Linked DNA regions of Mus musculus: all the other regions are reported to be linked to region 2. The links are microRNA targets in miRTarBase. Many come from high-throughput screens and were not tested one by one. Region 2 holds a microRNA gene; each other region holds the end of a gene's coding sequence.
What was found. The annotated mature microRNA mmu-miR-149-5p reads UCUGGCUCCGUGUCUUCACUCCC and lies in region 2 at 1,713-1,735, opposite strand. An mRNA with a match to its seed (bases 2 to 7 or 8) in the 3' UTR can be bound and repressed. Matches are read on the target gene's strand: a 7mer-m8 pairs with bases 2 to 8, a 7mer-A1 pairs with bases 2 to 7 and ends in A, and an 8mer does both.

Region 1: the mRNA of Ephb3 is a reported target of mmu-miR-149-5p. Seed matches in the 3' UTR shown: 8mer at 2,984-2,991.
Region 3: miRTarBase lists Plec as a target of mmu-miR-149-5p. Seed matches in the 3' UTR shown: 7mer-m8 at 2,712-2,718.
Region 4: miRTarBase lists Med26 as a target of mmu-miR-149-5p. Seed matches in the 3' UTR shown: 7mer-m8 at 1,150-1,156.
Region 5: miRTarBase lists Zcchc4 as a target of mmu-miR-149-5p. The part of its 3' UTR that is shown has no 7-base or 8-base seed match.
Region 6: miRTarBase lists Sdcbp as a target of mmu-miR-149-5p. Seed matches in the 3' UTR shown: 7mer-m8 at 3,096-3,102.
Region 7: the mRNA of Otud7b is a reported target of mmu-miR-149-5p. Seed matches in the 3' UTR shown: 7mer-m8 at 2,136-2,142.

The regions. Positions count from the first base shown.
Region 1 is chr16:21,222,055-21,226,098 of GRCm38, reverse strand. It overlaps Ephb3 (Eph receptor B3), which reads right to left. Exons shown (of 16, transcript NM_010143.1): 14 at 4,041-4,044; 15 at 3,795-3,950; 16 at 2,795-3,691. The coding sequence ends at 3,583. Among named protein-coding and RNA genes, the nearest start is that of Ephb3, 19 kb to the right of the region's middle.
Region 2 is chr1:92,847,910-92,852,115 of GRCm38, reverse strand. Mir149 (microRNA 149) reads right to left here and starts at 1,738; the gene lies at 1,673-1,738. The region is part of intron 1 of Gpc1 (glypican 1); the gene reads right to left. It overlaps Gm29480 (predicted gene 29480), which reads left to right and starts at 3,319. Exons shown (of 4, transcript NR_166170.1): 1 at 3,319-3,415.
Region 3 is chr15:76,168,975-76,173,180 of GRCm38, forward strand. It overlaps Plec (plectin), which reads right to left. Exons shown (of 33, transcript NM_001163540.1): 33 at 2,000-4,206. The coding sequence ends at 3,196. Among named protein-coding and RNA genes, the nearest start is that of Plec, 35 kb to the right of the region's middle.
Region 4 is chr8:72,492,057-72,496,262 of GRCm38, reverse strand. Med26 (mediator complex subunit 26) reads left to right here. Exons shown (of 3, transcript NM_027485.4): 3 at 1-1,705. The coding sequence ends at 776. It overlaps Slc35e1 (solute carrier family 35, member E1), which reads left to right and starts at 3,649. Exons shown (of 6, transcript NM_177766.3): 1 at 3,649-4,097. The coding sequence starts at 3,677.
Region 5 is chr5:52,822,752-52,826,957 of GRCm38, reverse strand. It overlaps Zcchc4 (zinc finger, CCHC domain containing 4), which reads right to left. Exons shown (of 13, transcript NM_001308144.1): 13 at 2,293-3,340. The coding sequence ends at 3,271. Among named protein-coding and RNA genes, the nearest start is that of Anapc4, 9.3 kb to the left of the region's middle.
Region 6 is chr4:6,393,543-6,397,748 of GRCm38, reverse strand. It overlaps Sdcbp (syndecan binding protein), which reads right to left. Exons shown (of 9, transcript NM_001098227.1): 8 at 4,021-4,112; 9 at 1,627-3,239. The coding sequence ends at 3,185. Nsmaf (neutral sphingomyelinase (N-SMase) activation associated factor) reads left to right here. Exons shown (of 31, transcript NM_010945.2): 31 at 932-1,542. The coding sequence ends at 1,026. Among named protein-coding and RNA genes, the nearest start is that of Sdcbp, 30 kb to the right of the region's middle.
Region 7 is chr3:96,155,251-96,159,456 of GRCm38, reverse strand. It overlaps Otud7b (OTU domain containing 7B), which reads right to left. Exons shown (of 12, transcript NM_001025614.1): 12 at 1-4,206. The coding sequence ends at 3,489. Among named protein-coding and RNA genes, the nearest start is that of Mtmr11, 4.6 kb to the left of the region's middle.

The DNA of each region.
Region 1 (4,044 bases), not on the chromosome of region 2:
AACCTCAACTTGCCTTCTGTGGCGTTTCTTGACTTGTAATCATGGGCAGCCCTTTCTGTGGTTGTTTGAATCTCATTCCTGCCGTTCTCTTGGTTCCTGCAAGCATTTGGTTCCCCTCGCTTCTCTGTGTGTTTAGTGCCCATCCCAGTACTGCAGTGTGGTAGCAGACACCCAACAAATGCTTGAGGAATGAGTCCCTACAGCTCCACCCTCAGCAACTTGCCCTTCACCATCTTTTAAACTCTTACTGACTTTAAACTACTCAGGTCCCAGCAACTCACCCAGGGGCAGGGCTGGGCGAATCCTGTACCTCTGTGTCCCTCAGTCCCACCTTTCCTTGCTCCTTAGCTTTTTCATCTTTTCCTCCCAAGACTGAGGCTGGCATCACTCCCAGGGCCTTGCTGTATTTGACTGTTACAAACCAAGTACTATTCACTTCTGACGGCTTCTATATTTCCTTCAAGTTTCACATTAATAAATAATAGCAACAATAAAAAGGAGCTAACATTTCTTAGCACGTACCATCATACAGATGTTACATTTATTAATACGATTGGGCATTTGTAACATTTTCATGGGATAGAAAGATTCATATACTTCTTACAGATGATGGACGGCTCTGATGTCAACCTGCCTAGGTCACGTTGTGTGTGTCTGTGTGTGTGTGTCTGTGTGTGTGTGTGGGGGGGGGAGGAAGAGGGAAAGAGAAGAGAGAGAAGAGAGAGAGAGAGAGAGAGAGAGAGAGAGAGAGAGAGAGAGAGAGAGAGAGGATGTTTTTTGCTCCACACCCGGCCTGGGCTCTGTGTAGGCTGCGCTTCCTACTACACTACACTACCCCAGGTCTTACTCAGCACCTGGCCTCAGCAGGAAAGGGCCTGCCTCTCCCCTCTTCCCCACTGGCTTCTCTTTTAAATCATTGACTGGGGAGAGCTAATCTGCCCCAGAGTGTGTAATTAACGGAAGACTAGACAGACTGAGAACTCCATCCCCCCCTACTCCTTATCTGCCTGTAGGGAAGCTGGACCCCTCCTGGGGTGCTCTCTCTTCCTCTGCCAAGACCCTGCTTCCCTCACTACTTTGTTCTGAGGTTCTAGGGTCTGAATACATCCCAGCTCTCTAGACAAAATACCAGTTGGCTCTATCAGCTGGCAGGAATGCAGTGACTCTTGCAGGCCCCTCCCCTCATTATTTCTGAGTCCTGGGAAACCCTGCAGGTACCCAGGCTAAGAGGGGGGCTAGGGTGGACAGACTGAGGGCATGAAAACGGGTAATGTAAGTGGTGTGTGGATAATGGAATAGGCTTAGAGTACGTGCATGTACTCTGGCTGACAGTGGCAGGAGACTGTGGGAAGACAGGGGAAGACATTCATACCCCCATAAAGAAAGAAATCATGCAGGCTTCAGTGGGCTGGACGGAGCTGGAAGAGCACTTGAGCACCTCTAGCCTTAGGCTCCAGTCCACCCTGCAGATCCTGGCCTCGCTCTGAGTGGATCTCCACAGTCAGCATTGTGTGGGGTGGGACAATGGAAAAATTACCCAGGAGACAGGAGCCACAGACCTCTCACTGATCCAGAGGGCCACCCTCCCAAGAGTAGGAAGCAGGCTTGGGACCTGTGAACTCTCAGCAAGGGAATGGCAACCATGCCCACATCCCTTCTCCTGTACCCCTATGCCCACACCACTGACGACAGCACTGGAAGATGACTGGGGAGCTCCTGCCCACCCCCTCCCTGGAGCATGGGGGCTACTGAGGATCCACGTTGTGGGTGCACCCCCCTCACGGTGAGTATGTACTGCAGGACTCTGGGCACCGAATGCAAGGGGTAGAGAGGCAGTCTTGAGAACCTGTCTGCCAGGGGTTGGTGAAGGGACCCAGGAGGAGCCAGAAACACCAGACTGAGGTGGCCACACTTGACAACCCTTGTACATGCCCATGTTACTAGGCCTTCCTGGTCCCTCCCAGTGAAGGGCACTCTAAGTTAGGATTCACAGATATTTCAGAAAGCTCTTCTAGGCAGCACCTATGGTTACTCTGGGAGGACTGCATCTGTTATACCCTGCCCGCTTCTGTTTGTTGGTCCAAAGGGACCTGCATCTCTCCCTGTGAGGGTGTCCTCCCCTGCACTCTCACCCTGCCACCACTGGTTAAAACAGACCCAGGGTGCATACACTCACTTCCTCCAGCCCATTCCATTACCCAGGATCATGGATGTCCCTTTTCATTTCCATATCCTGACACGCACAAGTCTTCCTTTGACTCCAGAGACTTCAGACCTCTTCCGGACTCTTGATATGCATCTCCCAAGCCTCTCCAGGCTGTCTATAGACAGGGGTTTCCAGCCTCTGGCTCTAGTGCTGGATGGGAACTGTGGCCAACTTACTAAACATCTCCCTCTTCTCCTGGCTGGGTTACTGAGTTGAAATAAGATGTGGATGTAAAATTGGCTTTGGCTCCAAGACTGGGTGCACTCAGTGCTTAGTGAAGGAAGAGGAGCCATACTGAGACCCTGGGGAGTGATTAACCCTCTAGCTCTCCCTCAGGGACTCTACAGAACACCACGCAGACTCCAGAGCCTGTCCCCCAGCCCCAGAAACAAGGAACTTCTGAGAACTCTATTAGATGCTCAAAGCAATGGGGCTGAACTACAGGAGAAATCGGGCCTGGATAGCCTCGCTGTAGTTTCCCACTGACCCCCAGGAAGTTGTGAAGGTCTAGCAGCCCCCTAGTTCCCTCACTGACATGAGGAAATCAAGGAAACCTGCTTTGGGAGGAAGAACGAGCAGGGGCAAGAGTCATCTTATTGCCTTTATTTTGCTGTCTGCCCAGCTGGCCCCACTACAGGGCACAGGGCCAAGCTTGTACACACTCATGCTCTCTGTGCAGGCAAGCATGTGCACAACACACACATACATACCCCCACCCCCGTCTTTCACACACACACACACACACACACACACACACACACACACACACACACAGTCTCTGGCTCTCTGAGTCAGTCTCTGGGAGGCACAGGCTGCTTCTCAGCCTGCTCCTGCCTGCCCTTTTATGACAGCACCAAGGGTAGGCAGGGCCCTCAGCCCCCATCAAGTCCCTGTGCAAACTGGAGGTACCAGCTGGCTTCAGGATGGGGCACCATATCTCCCCATCCCCAGAGTCTCCTCCTCCACTTCCTGGGGGAGGGAGTACTCTCTGCTTACCTGGTGGGGTCAGACCCCTGCCAGGGCTGGGGCCTGAAGAACCCAGGCTTATCCCCACCTGACCCTACCAGGACGTCCATTACTGAAGCGCAGCCCAATCTGAGTTGTGAAGACTCCCCACTGGAGAGCAGGCAGGCCTGGGCCCCAAGGCATCTGGGGAGGGGACATCACCCCCTCTTCTAATCCATCTTCAATATGAAGAGGTTTGGGGCACACTTCCTGGGAGGGAGCACAGGCCTGGAGAAGTCACAGCTAGGGTCCTCCCCCAAACTTCCATCTTCTGGGCCACAGCCAGAGGCCAGGCATCCAAAAGTCCAGCTGGCTGGTCAGAATCCTTGTGCAGTCCTGGGGGGGCACCCCCCCCTCGTTGGAGCTGAGTGTCAGACCTGCACAGGCAGGGTCTGGTTCATCTGCAGCCGCATGTCCTGGATACTGCAGAGGATCTTCTTCTGGTGCCCAGCCAAAGTGACCCCAATCCTTAGCAGATCTCTAGAGACAGAAAAAAATGGTACTCAGTCCCTCCCTTCTACCCGCGACGCTGGGCTCAGCCAGAGTTCCTGCCCAGAGCCTGCACCTTGAGCGGTACACTTACTCTGCAGTCATCTGGGCCACCAGGTCAAAGGATGCAAACCCAGCACCGACAAAGCTCTCTTTATACCTCCCCATCTTGATGGCATCTAGCCAGTCACCCACTGTCGTGAAGGTCGTATAATCTGGGACTGTGCGGTCCAGGAGGGGCTGGGACATGCTGTGACAAAAAAAAAAGAGTGACCTGGTGCATCCATGGAGCTAGGGAGTAGGGTTAGGGTTGCCAGCCTGTGGGAGCCAGGATACTAACCCAG
Region 2 (4,206 bases):
CTGGGCTTTATCCTTGCTGACGGGTTGATGGGAAAGGTGGGATGTGAAGAACTCCAGGATGTGATACTGCAGGCTGCCATCAGAGGTGGGGGACTGAGCCAGAGGGGAGTGGACATCTTGTCAAGAAGCATGTGGGGGCAGGAACCTGTGACCTCAGGATGAGGCCATTATGTGTTAGGCCCCATTTCTATGAACCCCCCTCCCCTGAAGCCAACTGGGAGTGGAGATCTCTGACTAAGGAGAGATTCTGAGGTTGCATTCACCCTTAAGAGCTTGTTACATGATCACATCCTTGTCTTTAGCACTTAGTAAGCACAAGCATTTATGTGTGCTGGATGGTGTGTGTGTGTGTGTGTGTGTGTGTGTGTGTGTGTGTGTGCATATTGCAGAGTGGAACTGTGTACAGCCTCTGTGATTTTGACCTGACATGGAAGGTATATATCCCCAGATGCCACCCCTCCATCCCTAGGTAGGGCAACCTTCAGATCTGCTCTTCCAGGTCTCAGGTTGAGGGCCTGGCCTAGCCCTTCTCCTGCTTACTAAGGCATGGGAGCTGTGCTTCATCCCAGAACCCTGGGGACTTTTGGCCTCACAGGCTGAGTCCCACCTGGTTTCAGGGTCCCCAAAGGTCCACAGAGCAGGGCAGTGGCTGACAGCTGGTAGAAGAACAGAAGGAATTGTATTCTGATTCAAGGGTGCTTGGGGGAGTCAAGAGAAAAGGGAGTCAGAGATGGGAGGTGCACACGGAATGCCCCTCCCACCACTCCCCTACCTGGTACCCTCTGCTCCTACCACACTGCTTCCTCCTGCCCAGGGCACCTGCCTTTCACAGGGACTGCAGGTCCTGGGAAGCAACATGTTATTAAGCACCCAACCTCAAGAAAGGGCTGGGTTGGTGCCCAGACAGCTGGGAGCTGCAAGCCTAGGTCCTGCCACTTGATCTGCATCCATTGATTGATTCCCTTCCTTCTAGAGTAGGGAGGGCTAAGCAGAGATTATCCACCCGCAAGCAGGCTACAGGCACAACAAGGTACAGGGCCCAGCAGGGCCTTCTATTTGCTCTGCTCCGGGCCATGGTCTGCTGGGCTGAGGTGATATGCCACATCTCTCTCTTTGAGTGGTGGGGTTTAAGGGTTTTTCTGTTAGAGGAGGAATCATGGGGGGCACTGTAGAGGATGACCCATCTCTGACTTCAGCAGTGAGTGGGGAAACAGCTATGGGGATGGAGGCTGCAGGTATCAGGATGGGGCCATCCTGGGCTCAGCTGGGACAGAGGCACTCTGTGTGTGTAGGCCAAAGGTTTTAGGTGGAAATATTGAGGACCAGGCTGCACAACAGAGCACTGGCAAGAGAGAGGTGGGCACAGCCTTACTGGCCCCTCCCATGGTTTCTGCTCCTCTGACATCCTTCTCCATCTTAGTGGTCCCAATTGCCACCCCTCACCACATAGACAGAAGAACGAAGCTGAAACAGGAAGAAGTTAATTAAGGACACACACTCAGAAACAGAAACTCGCCCCACTCCACGGCAGGTTCTGGATAAATGGGACCCATGAGACTTTTGGCCAGCTACTATGAGCATACCCCATCCAATGGCCTCCCCTGCAGCCCCCTGGCTCTGCCTGGCCACCTCACCCAGCCAGCCCGGTGACCTGCGCTGTTCCAGTTGCCCCAGCACCGCCCCCGTCCCTCCCTCCCTCCTCGGACAAACACGGGAGTGAAGACACGGAGCCAGAGCCTGGGCACTGGCCTGAGGGCCCCGGGCAGGCTGGGTCAGGCTGCCCAGAAGCCCATGCATTGGCAGACCTGCTTGCTGAGGGTCAAAGATAGAGGAGCTGAGACCCAGCCCAACTGGAACCATAGGTGCTCAACATCAGAACAGCTAAGGCAGGCTCTGCAAAGCTCTCTACACTTCCAGGAAAGCACTGGAGTACATACCCATCGTAGGAACGTCTCTCCGTTCTACCCTACCAGCAGCTTCCTCCTTGCCAGCCCTGAAGGTGGGTGGGAGTGGAGCGGCAGTATTGTTCCCCACTGACCCCGCCCATCTCTCTCAGAGTTGGTTTCATTTTTCCAGATCTTTCCCTCCTGGGTTTTTGGGGGGCACTACCCTCCCCTGGCACTCACAGGTTTTATTTGGGGAAGGGGGTTGTTTGTTAATGGCAGGTTTTCCCCACTTTAGTCCCTTTTCTAAGCCTTGTCCCCAACCCCAAAGCCTCTCAAATTCCAAGACCCCTGCTTCTTGTGACACTTAGCATGGCACCCCATTGCAGCAAACCCATGGGCAGCAACTGCTCATTTACCTCCTCCCAAATCTGGCTGCTTGCACCCCACCCCCGGCCCCCCACTATTCTCCAGAGCAGACAGCAGCTTGTGGCTTCCTACCTTTCAGGGTCACACCCTCCTGCCACCTGCTGACAGCTCCAGCTCCTGCTCCTCCCTCACAGAGGCAGCATCCCTCTTGGTCATCATCCACAGTCACCCCAGGACTTTAGCAGAGTCCAGCATCCTGATGCTACCCACAGACATCTCTGACCTGACCTCCCCTGACACTTCAGGGACCCAATGCCTTGAAACCCTCCACCTTCTGAAGATAATGCAGAGTCATGCTACCCCGCCTCTGGTCCATTCTTCTAGAAGCTTCCTGTGCTCACGGGGGAGATGCAGAGTGGAAAGCCCACTTCCCTCACGGCCCCTAAAACACTCCAGCTGGCACGGCTTGGGGGAGTGTAGGGGCATTCGGAGTATAATCTCTCAGCACCGCAGATAAGGGAGAGGCACAGGCTACACTCCCCTCCCCAGCTGCTGGCTCCTAGAGCAGGCCTTTCTGTTGACTGGTAGGTTAGAAGTAAACCAGCCCTCTGTGCTCCTGGGTTTTCCAGCCCCAGAGGCTGAGAGTCTCCAGGACGTGACAGCCTGGAGCAAATGGCCCAGCTTTCTGGGGGACTACTCACTGCCCAGGCTCCAGGGGCATTTTCCCATTGCTTGCTCCTGTTCCCCAACAAACCTGTCTAGTCCCCGGGGGTCACACCCGAAGGAAGACATTTCAACTCCATCTCTGAAATTGGAAAAGCATCAAGCACAATCCCCTCCCCGCCCCCACCTCACTCCCAATACTTTTCCACCCTCCTGGATGCCTTCATGATTCCCGAGCCCCTGCCTCCGGTTCACCCAAATGGCAACATCACCAAGAAGAACCTCCATCACGAACAGGGACCCCCTAACTGGGGGGCATCGGCTGCTGGCACTTCTATGGACTCGATGGGAGGGGTCATCTCCGGGCAGGCAAGGGCTCCTGCCAGCTGCCTCTCCAGCATCAGGCCAGGCCCTGGGCGAACAAAGCCTGGGCGACACCTGCAGCTCCGACCGACCGCTGCCTCCTCTGCAACGGGGATGGTTCTGTACAGCTGGAGCCGGTAAGATAAGCCGGAGCTGCAGATGCAGGCGCCTGCTCTGGCGCCGCAGTGAGGAGGGGGCGCTGGTGCAGTGGGCGCGGCTGGTGCGGAGAGCTGAGTGCTGCGGCAGGCAGAGGGGGGCATTTGGAGGGGGGCTGCGGAAAGCGGGAGATGGAGGGAGAGGAGAGAGGGCGATGTGATTGGCGGGGAAGGGGCTTGCCGCAGTGGGCGCGGCGGCAGAAAAAGGAGGGAGAAAAGCGAGCGCCATGGCTGTGGCGGCGGGGGCGGGGTGAAAGGGGGGATGGGTTCAGTAGAGGAAGGGGGACTTACTGCGGAAAGGGGGCTGCGGCAGCCTGAGGGGTGCAGGGGGAGGGATGGGGTAGAGAGGAATATCTAGGATGGTGCAGCACAACTTTAGGGAGATGGGGATGGGATGGAGGTGGGAGCTGAGAGACATGAGTGGACATCAGGGCTGATGACCAAGCTCTTGATGGGAAGGGGATGAGACAGAGATAGGCTGTAGTGGGGGTACAGCTGCGAGAGAATGGAACTGAAGATGAGAGGTGAATGCATGGAGGAGGGGGGATGCAGACAGGAATGGTGATAGAGATGGTGCCTAGCAGACGTAGCCTGGTAGCTTAGCGGACACCCTCCTGGCCTTAGAACCCCCTTCTCCATGGCCGCTCCAATAGTGTCCCCAGCTGTGGATGCACTCCGGATAGCAAGGGCGATTCCAGCGCCAGTGAAGTGGTCTGGCAATTGCAGAGCAGCAGAACTCAGCAGGAAAGGCCAAGATGAGGCTAGGGGTCTCG
Region 3 (4,206 bases), not on the chromosome of region 2:
GGCTACTGCACCAAAGCCAGTACGTGACCTCGTGGACTTAACCTCTGAACAGCGTGTTCCAGCTCCCTTACCAAGCCTGGCAGCCAGTGGGTGGTCTGATTCCAGTCCTCGGTGGGGAATGTGCCTTGGATTTTAACAGGTCCTTGGGAGTCACAAGGAAGGACTTGGGCTTATTAAAACCTAAGGCTTTCCAAGGGAGCAGCTTTTTAGAGGGGTCGTCAGACAGGGAAGTCCCTCTCGGTTACTCTTCCCAAGGACTTCCTCTTTTAAGATTTCAGGTAGATGGCATTTTCCTCAATGTGTGCTCAGGATACCCCAGGCCGCCACACTGCTGCACTCCCAACTGTCACTAGGGTCAGATGGCCAGTGGGTAAGAGTGCTTGCTTTACAAATGTGAGGGTGAGAGAAAGAAGGCACCGGATGCCAGGCTACCACATGCTCACCAGCATATATCACACAACACAATCCACACTCAAAAAAGGAAGGAGCTGTTGATGGCCTACCTGAATCCCACCGGGGAAGGGTGTGTCCTCCTGTCCACCCCTGGCTATTTACCGGTCACACCTTCCGTCCTCCCAGACTCACAAGTGCAGCTACATCTGGAGATGCCTGGGAGCTACATGTGTCACCCTAGCGCTAGCTTGCTTGTGGCTGCTGGCTGGCTGAGGCAGGGATGTCAGCTCAGATCCATCTTTGCATAAGACAGACCAAGAACCCTGGGGTCCAGCTATTACTAGACTCCAGCAGAGGCCACATTCTCGTCAGCTCCTTGCCCCACACTTCCATCTCATCCCTCCCAAGATGCCTCCTCCAGTCACAGACACCTAAATTGCTACTTTAAGCTCCACCTCTGGGGATCTGGCCTCCAACAGGTGCCCCCCCCCCCCCTGTAACCTTGGAAACACAGTCCAAGGAGGGGACTTGAGTAGGGATGTCTACTGACCTCCAGATGGTAAGACCCACCTGTGGAGGCGTGTGGAGACTGCATGTCCTGCCATCCACCCACAGCAATGCAGTGGCAATTTTGAAGCATGACAGCACACAGAGGGAAGGGTGGTAAAGTCCAAAGAGATCCAGGTCAAAGGGGCCTGGGCCTCAAGGGAACATAAGCAGATGGTTACAATGGCGTTTCTGCAACTAGCAGACGGCACTTCAGCAACGTGGCAAGTACCTAAGGGGGCTTCCTTAAATGTGGACTGCTGTGCTAGGCAGGCCATTCTTGCCAAGGGAGTATATGCTGAGAAATGCATTCTAGTCAACCCAGCAGGTAAGGCTGCTGACACCTGGCAAGGGTGGCCCTAGTCATTCATCCGAAGTGGGGAGAGAAGAGCCCCACTTCGTAGGCAGATCGAGGTCTGTACCCCACAGGCAAAGGAGCACGTCAGTAGTGATGTGCTCAGAGCCAGGGGTTATAGCAGGTTGCATGTCTCACAGGTCTTTTGAAAATCTGCAGCCACTGAAAGTCCACACAGCTTAAGTCCAGGACCTACTGACCTGCACTTGAAAAGAAAGCGGGCCCGAGATGTAAGACAGACCACACTGGAAGTGGGTGGTGGTGGTCCCCGGCAGCAGCCAGTACTAAAGCCACCTTCCTAAAATAGCTGCCCTTAACCAAGAGGAATCAACCCACCCTCCCCTCCCCCAACCCCCAGGGAGTGTGTGGACACTCACTCCAGAGAAGTCCCAACCCTGTGGCTGTCATAGGGATGTGCCAAGTGACAGGACATCACCCAGATGAGAGGCTGGGCACAGCAGGCCCACCTCAGTGCAGCCTGCTCCCTTCTCCACTCTGCCTTCTCTGCCTGCTAGCTCTCTAGCCACCCCTTGGGTTTTCCTGGTTGTGATGCCCAGCCTTGGCCTAACATCTTTGCAAGGCCTCATGTATCTACTCTGGCCAGTACCCATCTGGTGAGCCAGGGCCCGGAGCCGGGAACCACAGCTTCTACCCTCTCACGGATACACAGATGATCTAGGAACAAAGCACAAGGCAAGACCCAGGTGAAGGTTGGAATTGCTTTTATTGAGGGGCGGACACCGCAGGGCCCCGCCCATGGTCAGGTTAGTGTTCTGCCTGGCATCTCCACCTGCCACCAGCTCAAGGTTAGTGGAACATGCAAAGCTCACTCAGAGGGTGGAGGCAGGGGAGGAGCCACCAAGGCCCGGGACTGGCTGGACAGGAAGGAAGGGAGAGTGTCACTGGCCAAATGCTTCTGTTAGCATAGATGGGCCAGCCGGTGTCTCTGGGCCATGGAGGGGCCAGGGCTCCCTGGGAGTGAGGTGGGCAGCAGCACCCAGAGAGGGGTTCCACAGGCTTGAAGAGTCCCTGGGCCTCTGGAGCAGGAGAAGTCTCAGATCTGCAGAACCCTCCAGCCCCGCCCAGCCAGAATGTCCATCTCCTACCCTGGGTCTGGGTCTTTAGGGCCTGGGTACAAGGACACAGAAGGCACTTACAAGGGGAGCTGAGGCTGGAAGGCTGAAGCAGAGGCTCAGGTCTCAGGGGAATAAGTATGGGGTGTTGAGCTACAAAGCATAGCTCCAATGGCAGCTGCAGGAGCCAGGCGGGAGGCTGGGGCCAGGACCAGGCCTTATCTTCCCATGGGGAAGGGGCTTCTCTGGGTAGGCTGGAAGAGATGGTTGGCCTGGGATCTTCCCTTGGCCAGCAAAACCCACTGAATATACAGGACATTCAGAGATAGACTGGGGAGAAGCAGCTGGCTCAGGACAGAGGCCTCAAGAGCTGTCTGCTCACACGACTGTCCCCAGTTCCCCTCAGCAGCTAGGACCAGCAGGTAGACATCCAGTGGGGTTGGCTTAGAGGTCTGGGGGCCTTTCCCAGATAGAATCCTCCCAGGAGAGACAGGAGTGGTATAGGCTGAATGCCCAGCTCTGGATTCTCCAAGGCACCTGGCTGTGGTGAGTGGCAGGTAGAAAGGATTTAGGGAGAACCCAGGAGATTGAAGTGGTCACTGGGCCTGGGCCAGCCCTGTTCCCCAAGACACAGGCTGTCTGGACATCGCATACATATATTAATGTGTTAGTCTGGTCTTTTTGGTTAGATTTTAGGCACCGCTTGGGAGGAAGACACCTTTAAATGTTAAAAAGGAAAAAAAAAGAAAAAAAAAAAGAAGACCCCAGTGCCTCCACAGGGAGCCCGGCCACATGCAGAGCGGGAAGGCAGGATGCAGGCTGAGGGGATCAGGCCACTGCAGACTCAGGGCCCCCAAGAGAGGCTGAAGGCCCTGAGGCATAGCGGCGGCCATAGCCTGAGGAAGAGTAGGAGGAAGAAGAAAAGGTCATGGAGAAGCCAGAGCCAGTGGCATCAAAGCTGCCACGCCGGGAGCCGGCCCTGGAGCCGGTGCGTGAACCAGTGCGTGAGCCGGCGGTCGAGCCAGAGCCACTGACGCTGTACGGGCTGTAGTAGCCCTTGCTGGACTGTGCCGCAGCCTCCAGCAGCCTCAGCCCCGTGCCCTCCTCCACCATGCTACGGTCCAGAGCGTCCTTGTAGGAGATCTTGAGCTTGGTCTTGGGGCACGTGAGGTACTTGGAGTAAGCACTGACATCACGCAGCTTCTGGGCTGTGCGGGCATCCACAGTGCCACGTTGCAGAGCTTCGTCGAGAGACACACGGCCGGGCGTGTCAGGCTCGATCAGACCACCGGTCAGGTACTGCACCTCCAGGAAACGCTGGCCTGCCTCATAGTACAGCCAGCCCTTCTTCAGGGCCTGGGCAGCTGACATCTTGGTCTTGGTGCGTGGGTCCTCAAACCCACAGAAGGCCTTCTGGGCCAGATTGATACGGTCTACCATGATCTTGTCCACCAGGCCCTTGTTGACAGCTTCAGTGACCGGGAAGCGCTCACCAGTGCTGGGGTCAATGATGCCCCCGGTGCAGGCTTGGGCCTCCAGCAGCCGCTGGCCGGTGATGTTGTCTACCAGGTTGCGGTGCATGGCCTCCGTGATGGACACCTTCTCCAGAGTCTCTGTGTCCAGGATGCCGGCCACGGGGCCAGTCTCCTCAGTCGGATCAGACCAGGAGGCTAGCTGGGTCCTGGGGCCAGCAGAACTGATGGGGTAGGAGGAAGATGAGCCCACAGAGGAGGAGCGGGAACGGAAGCCACCGGCATTGCCTGAGAGCATGTCAGCAAACTCAGTGATCGAAAGCGTACCAGCGCGGTACTGGTCCAGTGCTGAGCGGTCAATGAGGTT
Region 4 (4,206 bases), not on the chromosome of region 2:
TGCTGCCTAATGCTGAGAGCCCTGTGCACTGGCCAGAGCAGTCTGAGGGCCACCCACGGCTAACGGGGCCAGCCTGCAGGGCTGGATTTTCTCCAGATTCCTCCAAGGCGGACAGTGATGCTACCTCTTCGGGTGGCTCGGACAGCAAAAAGAAAAAGAGGTACCGACCTCGAGACTACACAGTGAACTTGGACGGGCAGGTGGCTGAGGCTGGTGTTAAACCTGTGCGGTTAAAAGAGCGGAAGCTCACCTTTGACCCCATGACAAGACAGATCAGGCCTCTGACCCAGAAAGAGCCGGTGCGGGCTGACAGCCCAGTACCCACAGAGCAGCTGCCTAGGACAGAGCTGGAGCAGCAGGAGGTCAAGGCCAGCCTCCAGAGCCCTTTTGAGCAGACGAACTGGAAGGAGCTATCACGAAATGAGATCATACAGTCCTACCTGAGCCGCCAGAGCAGCTTGCTATCCTCCTCAGGCGCACAGACCCCAGGTGCGCACCACTTTATGGCTGAATACCTGAAGCAGGAGGAGAGCAGTCGGCAAGGGGCCCGGCAGCCCCATGTGCTGCTACCACTGCCCACACCCACTGACCTACCAGGGCTCACACGTGAGGTCACGCAGGATGATCTGGACAGAATCCAGGCCCAGCAATGGCCAGGGGTTAACGGGTGTGAAGACACACAGGGTAATTGGTATGACTGGACACAGTGTATATCGCTCGACCCTCATGGTGACGATGGGCGCTTGAACATTCTGCCTTATGTCTGCTTGGACTGAGCACCTGACCTGGCCATCATGTGCATTCCCACCTCGCAAGGGTTAGGCTGGCCAGCTGAGAAGGCGAGCATGAGGCTCGCTCTCCACCATCCTTTTGTGAAATGCTGCTACCAGTTTACTAACGATTGCAAAGGAAGGGCCGCTCGGGGGAGGGGCAGATAGATGGCTGAAATCTATAGTAAGCCAGCTATAAAGCGTTAGTCCCCCATCCCAGAAGAGGTGCAGAACCACTCTAAGCACCGAAGGCAGGGACCTCAGTAGCAGGCAGGCACAGGAACCCTGTGGAAGAGGTTACCTTAACAGCAACAGACACATCTCTTCTTTGCATCTCTTGCTCTTTGGCCCTGGTGTCTCTGAGGCACAGGCTACTCTCGAGCCAGTGGTTTTTTTTGTCGCCCTCGTGTTGTGCGCTGGAAGCTTCTCTGCTGTGGTGAACCCTGGTGTTGTGTGGGTGGGCCAGCCTCACCCACACTGCACAGTCGTCTGCCCATTTGTATATGGTTTCAGTTCAGTCCCAGTTCTTAAAAGAAATGCTGCAGAAACTTGAGTTTTCTCATTTATTTCATTCTCTTTTTTCCCCTACCACCAGCCAAATGACTTTTCCTTCCCTTCTTTCCTTTTCTGCACAACTCTAGAAAAATGCCATCTTTCTAGAGTCTTTAACCCACAAAGTTCCCGAGGGTGCTACTGGTGTGAGTTGCCCTGGTGGGCTAGGGAAGAGCCGTCTGTTGGCTGGAAACACTCATAACCATTCCTTTAGATTCGTTTGCCTTATGGTCATAAACGCGATTTGCAAAAACAAGGAGCCTTAGTGAATGTACAGTACCTAGACTTCTGTGTTCGCGCAGAAGGGAGCAACTTTGCTATTTGGTCCAGTAAGTGGACAACTTGTGATATAAATGTGGAAATAAAAAAAATATTTGCACAAACCAGTTTTGGAATCATTTCTCATTTGCACATGTATAGCTAAATCTGGCCTTTCCTACAGGGGTAAGTGCCTGGAGCCCACATCCATACCTACTATGCCAGCCTTGGTGACATCCCTTTAGCTTTATTTTGTAGCGGCAGGCAGGGCCTCTCTATCTGCTTTTCATTGATTCATGGTCAACAACATCCCCTTGGTCACCCACCTAGAGGAGCCTCTTAGTGACATGGTGTACACCTTCCCTGCCCATCAGGGAGATTGCATGGCCCAGATGTACATAACTATTTTCTGGCCCTAGCCCTGGGCTAGCAGCTGCAGGCAGACCCAAGGCTGCCTCCATACCTGACAGGTGTCCACTAAGATGTCACCTTCGTTATATAGTAATGATCTACCCCCTCTCTCCCACATACACAATTAAGCCAAGATTAGGTGTCTAGTATTTTTTTTTCACTCATCCATATCTTCTTAATTTCAAAGATAACAGTTATTCATAAAACAGCAGCTTCATGGTTTAAGTCTTAGAACATACCTCCTGGTCTGGTTGGTACCAAAGCCAACCCAGAACCCGTTTCAGAGCCAGTAGGAATTTCTGAGGTTTGTTGCAGAATGGCCCCACTCCCCATTACAGGGCCATTTGAGGAGGTGAAACCACAGCTGGGTTGCCCTGAGTACATGTACCTGTTGTGAAATGAAAAAGCTTCCAGAGTTGCCAGGGCCAAATCCAATATGAAATAAAAGCAACCAAAACACATCAGTGGGGCCATCTGACACTGCTCTGTCCAAAGATCCTAATTCCTCTTGTATTTAGTTTGTGACAAAGGCCTTAGGGTACAAAGCCCAGCGTCCTATCACCATATTCTTAAACTCCTGCTTTGGGAGGGACCAGGCCATTTTCTACTCAGATCCACAAGGACTGCCACATGTGTGATGAGTATCCAGCAAACCCCAGGGTACAACACAGTCTACCTTGAAGAACGGGTGAGTAGCTACGCATGGTGCTCAGGAGGCGGAGGCAGGCAAATCTCTGAGTTCGAAGCTAGCCTAATCTACAAATCGAGTCCATGACAGCCAGGAATCTGTTACACAGAGAAAAGCAAACCAAAACATAGGTGAGGTAGAAAGACACCCTGGCATTCAAGGAGACGCTGTAAAGGAGAATATTGAGGTTGGCGAGATGGCTCAGCAAATAAACGCTTGCTGCCAGAGTTAGTTTCTTTTCCTGGATGCACATGGTAGAAAAGAGACAAAAGACTCAACTCGTCTGACCTCAATATGTGTATACACACGCTCGTGCCCGCCTCCATAAATGAACACATTTTAAGGAGCGCGAACAACTATTCTCCCTCACTTAAAAGCACACGATCTTGGGAATCGAGTTTTGTAAGTCTAGTCCTGCCTTCGTGGTTTTGCCCAGCATCGTACCGGTCAGCTGAGCTCTTAAGACACTGTCGCAGGAGACACTTAACCCTGGATTTCTCTCGGTTGGTCTGTGAGGGGAAATTGACACCTACCGCACAGCTTCCGAGGACCCGGCGTAGTCCAGAGGATTTACCGCAATCGGTTTCTTTTCTTCTAAAAGATCTAAGCCCTGTCTACGCCCCAGGCACGCGGCTTCCACAGCCTCAAGTGGGCGGGCCCGCGTCGCCCGGCACCTCCCACGGAGTCCTGCCAGTCACCGGAGAGAACGTAACGCGCTTAACCCACCCGCGGGCCCTACGGCCCGCCTTCCGGGCTTAGCCCCGCCCCCTCCCGGAAAGCGTTTAAGTGAGGGTAGGGCCCTCGCCGACGACGTGTACGGGCGCGTCGGCGGACGCGCGACGATGACGTATGGGGCGGTGGCCAATGGCGAGCGGCGATGACGCAAGGGCCAGGGGCCAATGGTGAGCGGCGTCTGCCGGCGCGCCCTCCAGGGCTGTCCCGCCCCCTGCCCGCGTCCGGCGGTCGTCCGGCGGGAAGGGGCGGCCGCTCGGGCAGGATGGCGGCGGCGGCAACCGCGGGTCCCGGCGCGGGCGCAGGGGTCCCGGGCGCGGGTGGCGGCGGCGGGGCGCGCGAGGGTGCGCGGGTGGCGGTGCTGTGTCTACTATGGTACGCGCTGAGCGCGGGCGGTAACGTGGTCAACAAGGTGATTTTGAGCGCCTTCCCGTTCCCGGTCACCGTGTCGCTGTGCCACATCCTAGCGCTGTGCGCGGGGCTGCCGCCGCTGCTGCGCGCCTGGCGCGTGCCGCCCGCGCCACCCGTGTCGGGCCCCGGACCCGGCCCGCATCCGGCGTCCGGCCCGCTGCTGCCGCCGCGCTTCTATCCGCGTTACGTACTGCCGCTTGCCTTTGGCAAGTACTTCGCGTCGGTGTCGGCGCACGTCAGCATCTGGAAGGTGCCGGTCTCCTACGCGCACACCGGTAAGTGCTGAGGCGGGCTTTGCGCGCTGTCTGGGGCTTCGAAGTGTGGGTACGAGTGCGCGGGCCGTCTGACTGAGACGCCGCCAAGGTGCGTCGGATTCTCACGTTG
Region 5 (4,206 bases), not on the chromosome of region 2:
CTTAACTACTGAACACTCCAAGTCTGAGAGTAGCTATTTAAAGCTTATTTTCACTTTTGCAGAGAGAGGGATTAAACCCGGGCTTTATTCATACCAGGCACACCACTAACTAAACCATACCCTACCCCATATTTTATTGCTCTTAATTTGAGGCAGGGTCTGGCTAAAATGCTCAAGGTGGTCTTAAACTTTTGATCTTAGTCGCTTGAATAGGATTAAAATCTCAAGAATGCTGAGATTACCTGCATGTGTGACCATGCCTCAGAGTTATATAGTACATTACTCCTGACTATTACTAAGGCTTAGGCTCCTTAATTCTAAGATGTAACTTTTCTACGTTTCAATATTTCCAAAATCAGAAAATCTAAAAACTAGTATAGACAATTACTGAAGTGTTGCACCTTTTCCCTAGGGAAATCGAGGACAAAATCAATGGTGAATTTCTTGTGTTGAGTGGGCTAGGCCTAAACACAGGTTCCAGCCACCCCCCCTCATCAGCCTCTAGAATAGCCACATTGTAGGTATGTTCCATGACACCTAACTGGATGACCTATTTTATAACTGATAGTATCTTAAAATTAAGGAATATGGGGTTACAAATGATGACTGGCCATCAGGACCCAACTCTTCAGTGGTCATGGTCCCTCCGATATCTGAGTTCTAGAGAACCCAATAGATACCATGGCTAGGTAGACACAGGAAAGTCTGGAAGTGTCCCTATCCAGGCTGAAAACAGAGAGGGGAACACAGCAATGCCCAGCTCTTGTCTCAGACTTGCCCCTCCTATCATCACAGTCATCTGTGTACAGTGACAAGATGGAACTGGGACTGAAGCTCAGGGCTAGAACGATTGTCCAGCACACACTCACACACACACACACACACACACACACACATAAGCCTGGGTTTACCAAACAGAAATCAAACAAGTAGACACAAAACAGAGGGAGATAAGAGTGTCTTAAAGCTTAAGTCTCAGGGCTTAACCAACTTTTAAATGTGTATGTGTGTGTGTATGTGTGTCTATATATATATATGTGTGTGTGTGTGTATATACATATAGTTGTGTATGTATATATATACACACATAAATATGTGTATTTTGTATATGTGTGTATATTTATATGTGCATATTTATATATAGACAAGATATAGATAGATAGATAGATAGATAGATAGATAGATAGATAGATAGATAGATAGATAGAAAAATAAAATGTATTTGGGGGTATACACGCGAATGTGTGTGTGCATCTGCAAGCAGGGGAAGATGTGCCACAAATATTTATGTGAGTCGGCTCTTCCCACCTTGCCTCGATTTGGGGTCTCTCCTATTTCTTAAACCCTAGGCTAAGTAGCGCATGAGCTACCAGCAATTCTTCTGTCTCTACCTCCCGTAGGCGGACTGGATTACACATCTGGCTTTCTACATGGTTGGGGAAGGAACACAGATCAGCAGGGTTGCATGCCAAGCCCTTGCACCCAACGAACTTATCTTTTGATGCCACCTGATGTCGACCACTATCAATTTGATCTGCTCCATGCTTAAACATCCCGCATCACACATCCAACTGTCCTGGATTACAGGGAGTAGATAGAGAACTCACGGGGCTCCAGCTACCAAGCCAGGAGGCTTCACAAGGAGTTCCAGAGCTGCTGTTTAGGAAAAGACAAGTCATTATGCAAATTAGTCCATTTGCAACCATTCAGTCTTAAAGAGATAAAGCCAGGTAGCGGGCAGAGAAAAGGAGCCATGAACTGCTTCTTCTACGATATGGAACTACTCTCTTCAGTGCTAGGCACCTGGGTCAAAAGCTGGGTTATACAGCTTGCTCACCACAGAGAACCGAGATCACAAAGCAAAGCTGACATATATGCCATACTGAAGACACAGAGGCTTAGAGAGGAGATCTGACAAAGGCCACCCAGCCAGGAAGTGCTCCTCAGTACAGGAATGAGGGAGTTAATCACCACCCTGCCTTATGTGACCAACGCCTTTCACAAAGGGGTAAACCTACAGCAGGCATGAGGACCCTAAAATACCAGTGCAATCACCATCCTAGACATCCATCCAACATGAGTGATCCCGCACCAACAGAAGACAAGTGAGGTGGGGAAAGGTCGTGCCCCCAAGTCTGTCAACTCAGGCCAATCCCACAGTCGGGAACATACTCTCACAAGCTGTCCCCGACTCGCACATGAGTGCTGTGGCATGCATGGGTACACACAGGCACACGTACAACTACTGATTGTAAAATGTTAAAAAAAAAAAGGAATAACAACTGAAAAAAGTACTGAAAAATAAAGATTTAATAATAAAACAATTACAATCCTTTTATCTTTACAGCGTTTCAATAACAATTTCCCCCACCATCTCTAGATCCAATCCATAAATATTATGTATGATACTTTTTGTTAAAAGAGTCTTAGTGCGTCCAACTTTTTTTTGTTTTGTTTTTGTTTTTACGAGACAGGGTTTCTCTGTGTAGTCCTGGCTGTCCTGGAACTCACTCTGTAGACCAGGCTGACCTCAAACTCAGAAATCGACCTGCCTCTTCCACCCAAGTGCTGGGATTAAAGGCGTGCGCCACCACTGGCCGGCTGTGCCCAACTTTTGACACTGCAACACGACATCATCTACAATGTTCCTACTCAAGGTCTGTGAGAACAAGTCATGACCAAAATCTCACAAAAAGCCTCACAATGTATTAAGTGTGCTTATGATTGGCCACATTCATAGCTATCCTGGGGCACATGTGGCCGATGGGCTATGGACCAGATGTGCTTTAATGTATGACTTGGTCATTTAACAAGAGTTTCATACCTAAAGTGAAACAAAAGCTCAACGCACACGAGGTAAGCAGGTAAGCGGTAGACTTTCATTTGCATTTCTATCCGGTATCGAAGTAAACAGGTACTGAACATCCGTCAGTTTCTCAGTCAAAAGAGGCCAAAATAAACACTGGTGAGGCGTTAAAGGGTGGAAAAGCGTGGAGAGAGAGCCAGGCAACCTGCTGCCTACAGAAGGCTCCCCGGTCTGCAGAGGCAGCTGAAGGGACATAGCCAGCAAATGCCACCTGCCCATTACCAGGCTTAGGAAGGGGCACACCTTTGAAAGCAGCTGGATTTAAGTCCATGTGGCACGCGGAGAAAATGGCATCAAAGGTTGGACTATAAATCTTGCTTATTCTCAAGTCACTGGACATTTAGGAGTGAGGATATTGATGGCCCCTTCCCTCCTCTTCCTTCTTCTTGGAGCAGATGTGTGATTCATGGATTGTCCTTTAGTGCCTCCCTTCTTATCTTATTACGTTTTCTTTGCTTCTGCTTTCTGACAGCTCTGAAAAGCAAGGTGCTAAATTATTTTATGGAATGAGCACAGTGAATTATGTAATTATGCTGAAGTTTAATTAACTGGCTATCCAAATAGGAAAATAGAAGACATGAAAGAATTTACTGTGGGGCTAGCATAAATCCCCAGTGTCCTAACCATGACAACAAGGAAAGAGATGGGCCTGATCACACAAAAGACATTTCCGAAGACATTTCTTTAAAAGATGGTTACTACATTTAGAACAAGCTATTCGGGACAGACACGCCACACGAGTGAGCAGCCACCCCAATGGGCTTGTCTCTTTGCTACATTTATACTGCTCAACTCAGCACTTCCATTTCCAAGTCCCTGAATTACATTTTTTTTTTTTAAGAAAGGGATTAATACATGCGGCAGTCAGCAGGGGCAGAGAAATGAAACTGCACAACAAGTAAAGGAAAACTGACCACATTGCAGAGGCCCTTTCCTAAAGCCTCGAAGCTAATCTCCCTTCCCCTCGCAGGTGTAAAAGTGCCAGCTAGCACCTCAAGGGATGCCTGACTTCTGTGTCCCAAGCTTCCTGAAAGCAAGCTGTTCTAAAGGAACAGGCTGGAACAGTCAGGCCCCGCTGCAACCTGCCACGGCGGACAGAACAGATCCTCTGCTCTGCTGCTCTCACCACCAAGATGCTGCTGCCCGTGATGGCGAGAGTCCTGACTACTTACTCACTTCTCCACACTAGCAGAACCATGCCACTTGCCCTATCGAGGACTGTGCTGGTGCACACACTGTGCCCCTGGGCATAGCTGGCAAAGGCTCTGACTACCAAGCAGCATTAGTTGTTGAGAGTCAGAAGCCATGGCTCCTGTGAGCCAAACTAAGCTAGGCCCTCA
Region 6 (4,206 bases), not on the chromosome of region 2:
TATAATTTTCATATGCTCTATTTCTTCTTAAACCTGTATCTTAAAATTATGTAGCTATGTTCTCCCCCTCAGTTTAGTAGGTTTCTTTTTTTTTTTCCTTTTTTTTTATTAGGTATTTTCTTCATTTACATTTCCAATGCTATCCCAAAAGTCCCCCATACCCTCCCCCCCACTCCCCTACTCCCTTTAGTTGGTTTCTTAACAGCTACAATTTTTATGTGAACCTTTCAATGAAAAAGACATAAAATCACATGGCTGGCTACAGGCTGCCCAATTCCCTTTCCATACATTTCTCTATGTGTCTTTTACCGTTCGCCAAGGAGTATGTTTCCATCAATCATTTTGTTTTTAGATTCATAGTGAGATAGTTCACTCCTTGTAAGTTCTTTGTAGAAGCAAGTTTTTCTCTTGTGAGGCTATTCTTGGGCTTGGCAAACACAGAAGTGGATGCTCACAGTCAGCTATTGGATGGAACATAGGGCCCCCAATGGAGGAGCTAGAGAAAGAACCCGAGGAGCTAAAGGGGTCTGCAACCCTATAGGTGGAACATTATGAACTAACCAGTACCCCGGAGCTCTTGACTCTAGCTGCGTATGTAGCAGAAGATGGCCTAGTCGGCCATCAGTGGAAAGAGAGGCCCATTGGTCTTGAAAACTTTATATGCCCCAGTACAGGCGAACGCCAGGGCCAAGAAGTGGGAGAGTGGGTAGGGGGGTGGGGAGGAGGGTATGGGGGACTTTTGGGATAGCATTGGAAATGTAAATGAAGAAAATACCTAATTAAAAAAAAGGAAAAAAAATAAAACCCTGAATTGACAAAACAACAACAAACCTTTACATAGTGTATAATAGGAGCGCGGGTATGCTGATTACCTCCTATGGCAGGCAGCACATCTGCATTTGGTTGACCTGCTAACAGAGATGTCTTTCAGGTGCTGTGACATGCATGTGGATGAACGAACAGTGTAGCAGTATTATCACCGGAGGGGAAGACAGACAAATTATGTTCTGGAAATTGCAGTATTAAGTGCCTTTTCCTCTCCATCAAGTACAATTCTACTTAATGTATTTTAAACCAGACTTTAAACTGGTGAATGTGCAATGATAGTACTTAGAAGTTTTACCACATGAAGAATGTGTGGTTTCAACTTCCTAAATCATGGTGACTTCATTCAGAGCCATTTGTTGTCATCCATTAAGCAGATATAACATGGCAGTGTTAGGGGAAAGGACAGAGAACTATCAACCATGACAACAGTTTGAAGACTACTGGGTGTTCAGGATAAACCCAGTCGGACTGAGGAACACTGGCCAGCACTGGCCAGCTCAGTCCCCAAGAGGACAGTCTGTATTCAAGCTGCCCAGGTTCTGACGGTAACACGGTTCTTTGATGTGCGGTCATGGACTGGTTCCTTTCGGCAGTGCTGCGTGCCCAGATTCTTAATAACATTAAGTCTGTTACTGTGTATAGCAATGGTTTATATTTCATTATGCTACTAAAGGTTCATCTTTTCTACATTAAAAATATTTTTCTGTAATGAAAGCACTCTTATCTTATTTAAATAACTTAAGAATCACAAGTATTATTCCTTCTACAAAACCATACTTAATGAAACAAACACAATTTCATTTCTTTTGGACCTATATTCAGAACCAAGTCCAGAAAGCAAGGTGGATAATCAAACTGAGAATTATAAATTTCCAACAAGGTAGCCTATATAGAAACTGCAATGATTTTCTTACATTCAGTCTCTGACCAGCAACTACAAGATTACAAATTTTCTGAAGCATGTTATAGAGAAAAGGAAGCATGATATAAACATGTTATAGAGAAAAGGCACCAGACTAAAGTAGTAGAACCTTGAGTTAGTTTTAAGTGTCACTAATACATGTGGATGGTCTCGGGATTCACTGGAGACGCAGCAGCCTTTCCAGGTTCCTTCACTGATGTCAGTGCGCAGGGTGAAGGTAACCACAGGCTGGCCAAGAGGGATGCCCAGCAAGTGTATTTCCAGGCAGTCTCCGCTAAAGCTTCTTAAAGAACCTAGTGTTAGCCTCACAGTAAGGACTGATGCAGGCACAGACAGACGGAAATTTCACATTTTTATACATTTAATAATATCACATAAAATAATAGGATAGGCACAAGCTAAGAAAGAAAAAATCATAAAGTGTCATTGCCATTTTTGTTTATAGGACAGAGTCAGAAAATGGAACAAATTAAGATGACTAGGGAAACATTCTAAAACGACCCCAACCTAGCTAAAGTTACATAATGTTAGGACTCAAATGCCAAATTAGATATTACCCACTAGAGTGAAAAAGAGACTCCAAAATTTATTCTATTTAGTATAACAACTTTTACATGAAATATATAGCAATTTGTTTCTCAGAAAGCAATACGGCAACTCTTAGGCGTTTCCTTTATGCAGTGACTAGAAAATCTTGATACAAGTAGGCAGCTCTGCTTTACCAGTGAGCTGCTCAGGGCTAGCACAGAACAGCTTAATAGAGAGCTAACATCTCAAGTTTCAGAAGGCAGCAATAATTCTATTTTGGCTTTTATTCTAAATGCTTACTGTAGTTAAGGCGACAATTGAAGCATATTAAGTGAAGGTAGTTAAGATTAGTGACAATCATTACAGTCTCTTGCAACCTACACACAACTGTGTAATGCTTTTGTGGAATGAAAACAGTGTTGATTAATTGGAATTTTACACACTCACACAGAGAAAACTTAAAAAAATAACTATCAAAGGCAATCATTCTAAATGTACTATGCTGACGTACTAAAGTCCAAGAATGCCACAGAATTGAAGCACATGACTAGCACTGTGCTTTGTTCTAGGAGAAAGCTGACCAGGTCTCAGACACAGCTAAGCCTATACCAGTCATCCTAATCACAATGGCTTATATAAAAACATCAGGTTCCCAGTAAAGAACCCAGTCTAGGAAAGTCAGTAAATCTTTTGGGAGTCTCACATCTGTAAAACCAGGCTAAGGCTACACCCATCTTAAAATCTGAAGCCAGTATCAGATAGAGCGGGTTCCCAGCTATGAGAGAAGAGAGAAAGGTCTCCATGCAGCATATTCTCCCTGGCTCCGGGAAAGCTTCATGTGCGAAATAGACAAGTTGCCGAAGAGGAAAACTGGAAACATTCAGCCGTGATGCATTGTACAAGGGTTTAAACTTCAGGAATGGTGTGATCCATCAGGCTTTTCATAATGCTGGGAGCCATCCTACAAGAGAGCAACTCATCATGTAACTCACATCTAGTTTCAAGAAGGCCATGGTAATTTAAGACAACCCCAATTCCAGCTTAGCCCTATCCTATTGTCATCGATGAATGATCTCGGATCTAAGGAACTGATAATCAAGTTGTCAGAAACTGTCCAGAAAGAATAGCTATTTACATCAGGGATGGCTGTTAGAGAAGGTGTGCATCCTTTACACTACGACTGGCTCTTTCATTGAAGCAGCAAGGCTGTGACGAGTCAGAAAGGGGCATAAGGAACCTACCAGTAATTTAAAAGAACAAAAGACTGTAAAATAATCAACCCCTTTCCCTACTCCGAGGGTAGCTAGCTGCATTCTACCCAAAACCCAAAAATATAGACAAAAATTGCATTACAAAGGTTATGTTTATGTCTATTCCAAATCTCACTTTCATGTGCTATATCAGGACTTTGGAAGAAGTTTCCAAGGTAGCATGGTAACAGCGATGAAGGAGCATAGGAGCTGAAAGGCTCTGGAATGAATCACCCTTGCCGGCCTTTATCAGCTCTCCTGGACTCTACACTCCTCAGTTCCAATAGATAGATAGCAAGCACCGGGTACCGCTCTACTGGCTAGGATACGGGAAAGAATAGCAACAGCCACTCTTACTACCTCACAGGCAAGCAATCCGTCAGGAACCACCATGACTAGATTTCTAATATGCACAAGACCTGCAAGCTCAAAGCACTGTTCACATTTATATCAGGTGCTGGAGATCATAAAGTTGAAGAGCTATTCACTTACCGTTTAATAATGTGTTCGAAGATAAAAGTAGGCATGATTGTGATGGTAACCACAGTCCCAGCTGTTGACAGTATATCTGCAATCTGAGCATCCTGACGAAACATAATAGAGTTACATTTCACTAGGCCTTATTTCATACACAAAAACTCTTAGGTAAGAAACACACTATATTTTGATGTTGTCTTG
Region 7 (4,206 bases), not on the chromosome of region 2:
GGCTTTAAGTTGGGGATGGTACAGAGGATGCAGGGTGGAGAGAGTGGAAAGGAGGAAAATAAGAACCCTGAAGATCTCTCTCCGTTAAAACTTTAGTAGGACCCCAGATGCCCTGGATTATAAAGAGTAATTGCACTTAATGTAAGCCTGAGAGATGAGGACTTACCTCGTCTAGGACCCCCACCCCCATCACACACAGGACCCTCGTAAATAAGGAAGGTTTACTCACGTGGATGCTCCCCACACAACCCTCCCTTCTCCCCACCACAGTATCTGCATGGGCTTGCTTATTCTGAACAAGTTGATCTTTGTTTTGTTTCCCAGACGTTCCTTAACTCCACCCCTACTCAACCCCTCCTCCACCCTAAAAAACACAGAATGAAAATCTCACAAGCCCTCATTAAAAAAATAATAATGTCTCAGAGTCCCTCATCTTTAAAATTGATGCCTTAATAGTCACCCTCCAAATTAAAACTAATTTAACAAAAAGTTAAAAGACCCAATACCCATTTCCCATATGACCTTAGACCTCTCTTCCCTTTCCCTGGAACTTTTTTATTTTCTCTTCAGAAAGGCAAGCAGAACTAAGATTGGGTACTATATAAATAAAAACAACATGATACAAGTTTTCTGATTCTCTTCATTTGTCCTCAGTTTATACAATCTAATAACAGACCAAGTCCAAACACAGCAGCCCAAAGGAAATGGAATTCCCTGGTTTTATTCTACAGGAAAACCCCTGCTGGGCTGTTTGCATTCCCACCCAGGCAGGTAGGCATCCTATGTATGTTGTGGGAGAAGGATGACAGAAGTGCACACAGGGTGACTGCAGCCAGGAAGAGGGGCTCACGGTGAAGGTTTCACCTGCATTATTCAAGCTTCAGAAACTGGGACAAGTCTGAGGTGATGCTAGCAAGGCACGAGGCATTCACCTACCACTCACTGGGAGAAAACTGAAGGAGTGCTTAAAACTCACGAATCAAGATAAGTACTGTCTTGATACAGTATTTAAAGAAAATAAAAATTTTTAAATGTAAAAACATCTTTATGAACATATCACAATTTAAGTAGACAGGATTTGTCCTCATATTTGTTCAATTAAGGGCTCTTACCTCTTTCACCTTAATACCATTCCTGATACATCCTAAGATTTTGATGTTTTGTTCAATCTGGGTTTTTAATGCTTATATATTGAAATTTTAAAAAATGTCTGGTATGATGTGATCCCAGAACTTGGCAAATTTGAAGCAAGATCATATACATTCAAGGACAGCCTGGGCTACAGGATAGGATCCTATCTAAAAACAAAACAAAAATAACCCTCAATTTCCTAGTAGATCTTTAAATTATGCACCTGCCAGAAATGCTTATCTCATACTAGGTTTCAGCCTGTAGAAAGCTGGGTGTGGTGGTTCATGCCTAGGTATCAGCACTCAGAAGACTGAGGCAGGAGGGTTGCTATGAGTTGGAGGCTAACCTGGGTTATATAGCAAGTACCAGACTGGCTAGCCAGGGCTACATAGCAAAGATACAAACAAAAAATAGTCAAAAAATAATGATGGGAAATTATGAAATCAACAGATTGGCAGACTTGGAAGTGAATGACTTTCAAACTTTTTGAGGGGGTGGGGGACAACTTCTTAAACTTAATAATTCCATAAAGAAGTCTTGACTAGCTTTGTTACCAAAGAGAGGTGTTTGATCATTTTTCTGACTAGGCAGAGGAAACATGCACTGGAGTCCCATCTCACACACGCACAAACATGCACATCTAGCCATTTGTGACTTAAATCAAATTCGGGGATAACATTCCATTAGTGGGTGATGACATACCTCAGCAGAGAAATTGGAGCCCAGAAACAGCCCCAGGTAACTCTGGACACGTGCAGTGCACTCACCCCTTCTTCATTTGCATCCACAAATGAACACAGAATTCATTTGTATAGAATTGCATAGATGATTTTTCCCCAGGAAAAAAAATAAGGAGAAGGGACAATTGGCGCAGGATAGCCTTCAGGTTTAAAGCTCTTAGAAATAGCTCTGGTCAGAGCAGAAGCTGTCCAGACTTGTGCTTTGTGCAAATTGCAAGGGAGCTCTCACCACTGGGTCCAGCCCTACCCCTCTGGAGAACAGGGCTGGCTCAGGAAAAGGGAGATATCCAAAGGCAGGTCAGATCACTGGGACCGTGCGGCCCATGGCGACAGCTCACTAAAATAGAGTTCTCTAGCTACCTTTCAAAGTGGCCCCTAGCCCCCATCCCATGCTTCAACACCAGCCCTAATATCAAAAATAATTTTTCTTACAAAGTATTTTTTATTATTTTAATAAACTAACCACAGATTAAGGTCAGCCACGGCTTAACAAAAGAAGCCAGGGTGTTAAGTTCACTCTCCAGAAGTGACAGGAAGGAGAAACCCACTTAGGTAGGGGCAGGAGTCAGTAACTTTTAAATGTTCTCTGTCAGGGTCCTGTCTTTCTTTAAAAAATTAGTAAAATAGGTTGCTTTCTACAGAAACACAGCAGCAGAGGATAGTGCTCTATAGAGGTTTTTGGTATTGTTTCAAACAGTCTAGCCAAACATCTGGGCTCCTCCACCCCTTCTCAGGTGCACTCAAACCCACATGTAGTTATTGCTAAGTAGTTAAAAAATAGATCACTCTGCACCCGTTCACCTGAAGAAACCCCATATACAAGGTTGCTTCTTACCACTCTTCTCTTTCCCAAAGGGAACTTGCTTTAAAAAAAAATATTTAAAAAAAAAATCACATCTTAACTTAGCTGAGCTCAATCCTTAAAAAGGATGAGGAAAAGGTAGGGCAACAGGCAGTCTCCCCTAAAACTAGAATGGATGGCAGATGAGTATCTAGAAGAACATAAAACTCTCTAGGAAAGACTCCCCTTTAAGTTCCTCCTTCCTATTTCCATTCACTGGGATTTAAACCACCCTTTCTGTGTAACCAGGCCAAGCACATACATTACTGCCTTGATCCTTCAGGGAGAATTTATTCAACCCTAATATCTACCTAATTCAAACCAAAATCAAATTTGTTCAGTATCTCAGATCGACTCAATACTCCCAACTACACCACCATGTGCTTTTTTTCTAAAGTCAATGAACTTTGGTCTATTTTTTCCTTAACTGACTTGAGAACTTTCTTTCCAGGTTCCTCCCCGAAGGTGTCCACCCACCTCCCACCCACACACACCTAGTATTTCCCTACTTTCCCTTGGGCCCTGGGATTGGGACAGAAGAGGTTATGAGCTTCCCCCTTCTGCCTTGAAGTCTCAAGTCAACTGTGTGCGCAGGAGCAGTACTGCCCTGGGGTAGTGCTAGCTAGCCCAGCCCTGCTCCCACCAGACTGCCAGCACTCCAGCCCCCACACCCCTCTCTGCACTTGCCCCATCAACACAGGGGCTGGGTCCTGATGAGCCAGAGTTGAGCTTAACTTTCTTTGTTTAGCCCCTGTCCCCACTAAGGTTCCAGCCACTCAGAACCTGTGTGCCAGCAGTTCCCCACCAGGTTCCCGCTCCCTCCGCCTCAGTTCTTCCCTGTAACAGCAAGAGCACAAGTTGTTTGTCTCAGGGTGTCCATAGAAGCTGCAGTTCGGTTGTTTGCATTTGGTCTGGGTTGGGGGAAGTCCCCGTGGAGCTCCAGCCCATCCATCTGGCTCTGGGGGCTCTCTGTAGCCATTGCTATAGGAATCAGCCACACGGAACTGGGGTGGTAACAAGGCACCCCTGTGAACTCCATCTTTGCCTGGCTCCAGAGCTGGGATGTTGTCCTGGTGGGGGTACGGTCGCCCAGGATACTGTCTGGGAAAGGTGGCATATGATGGTAAGCCCCCTACACATGGCCCCCCTGCCAATTGCCTCCGGGGTTCCTGGCAGTGGACTCCACCCCCAGAAGGCCGAGGGATAGTAAAGCCCCCAGGGTAAGCAGTAGAGAAGGCCATCGCCTTGGGCTCTGCGGGGGAGTCACTGGGCTGGTCCTCCCCACCGTCCGGCTCTGGCTTTTTGGCTGGAGGAGGCCCACTAACTAACCCTCCATTCATGATCTTCCTCTCAACCTCCTTCTGCTTCTGCTCTGCCAGGAATCTTTCCTCAGCATCTGCAAGGTAACGCTGGATCATCTCCTCCTGATACTGGTGCCGGTGGCCCATCTTCAGGGTTCCAACAAAAATGTACTTGCCCTCCCCTTGCATTGCG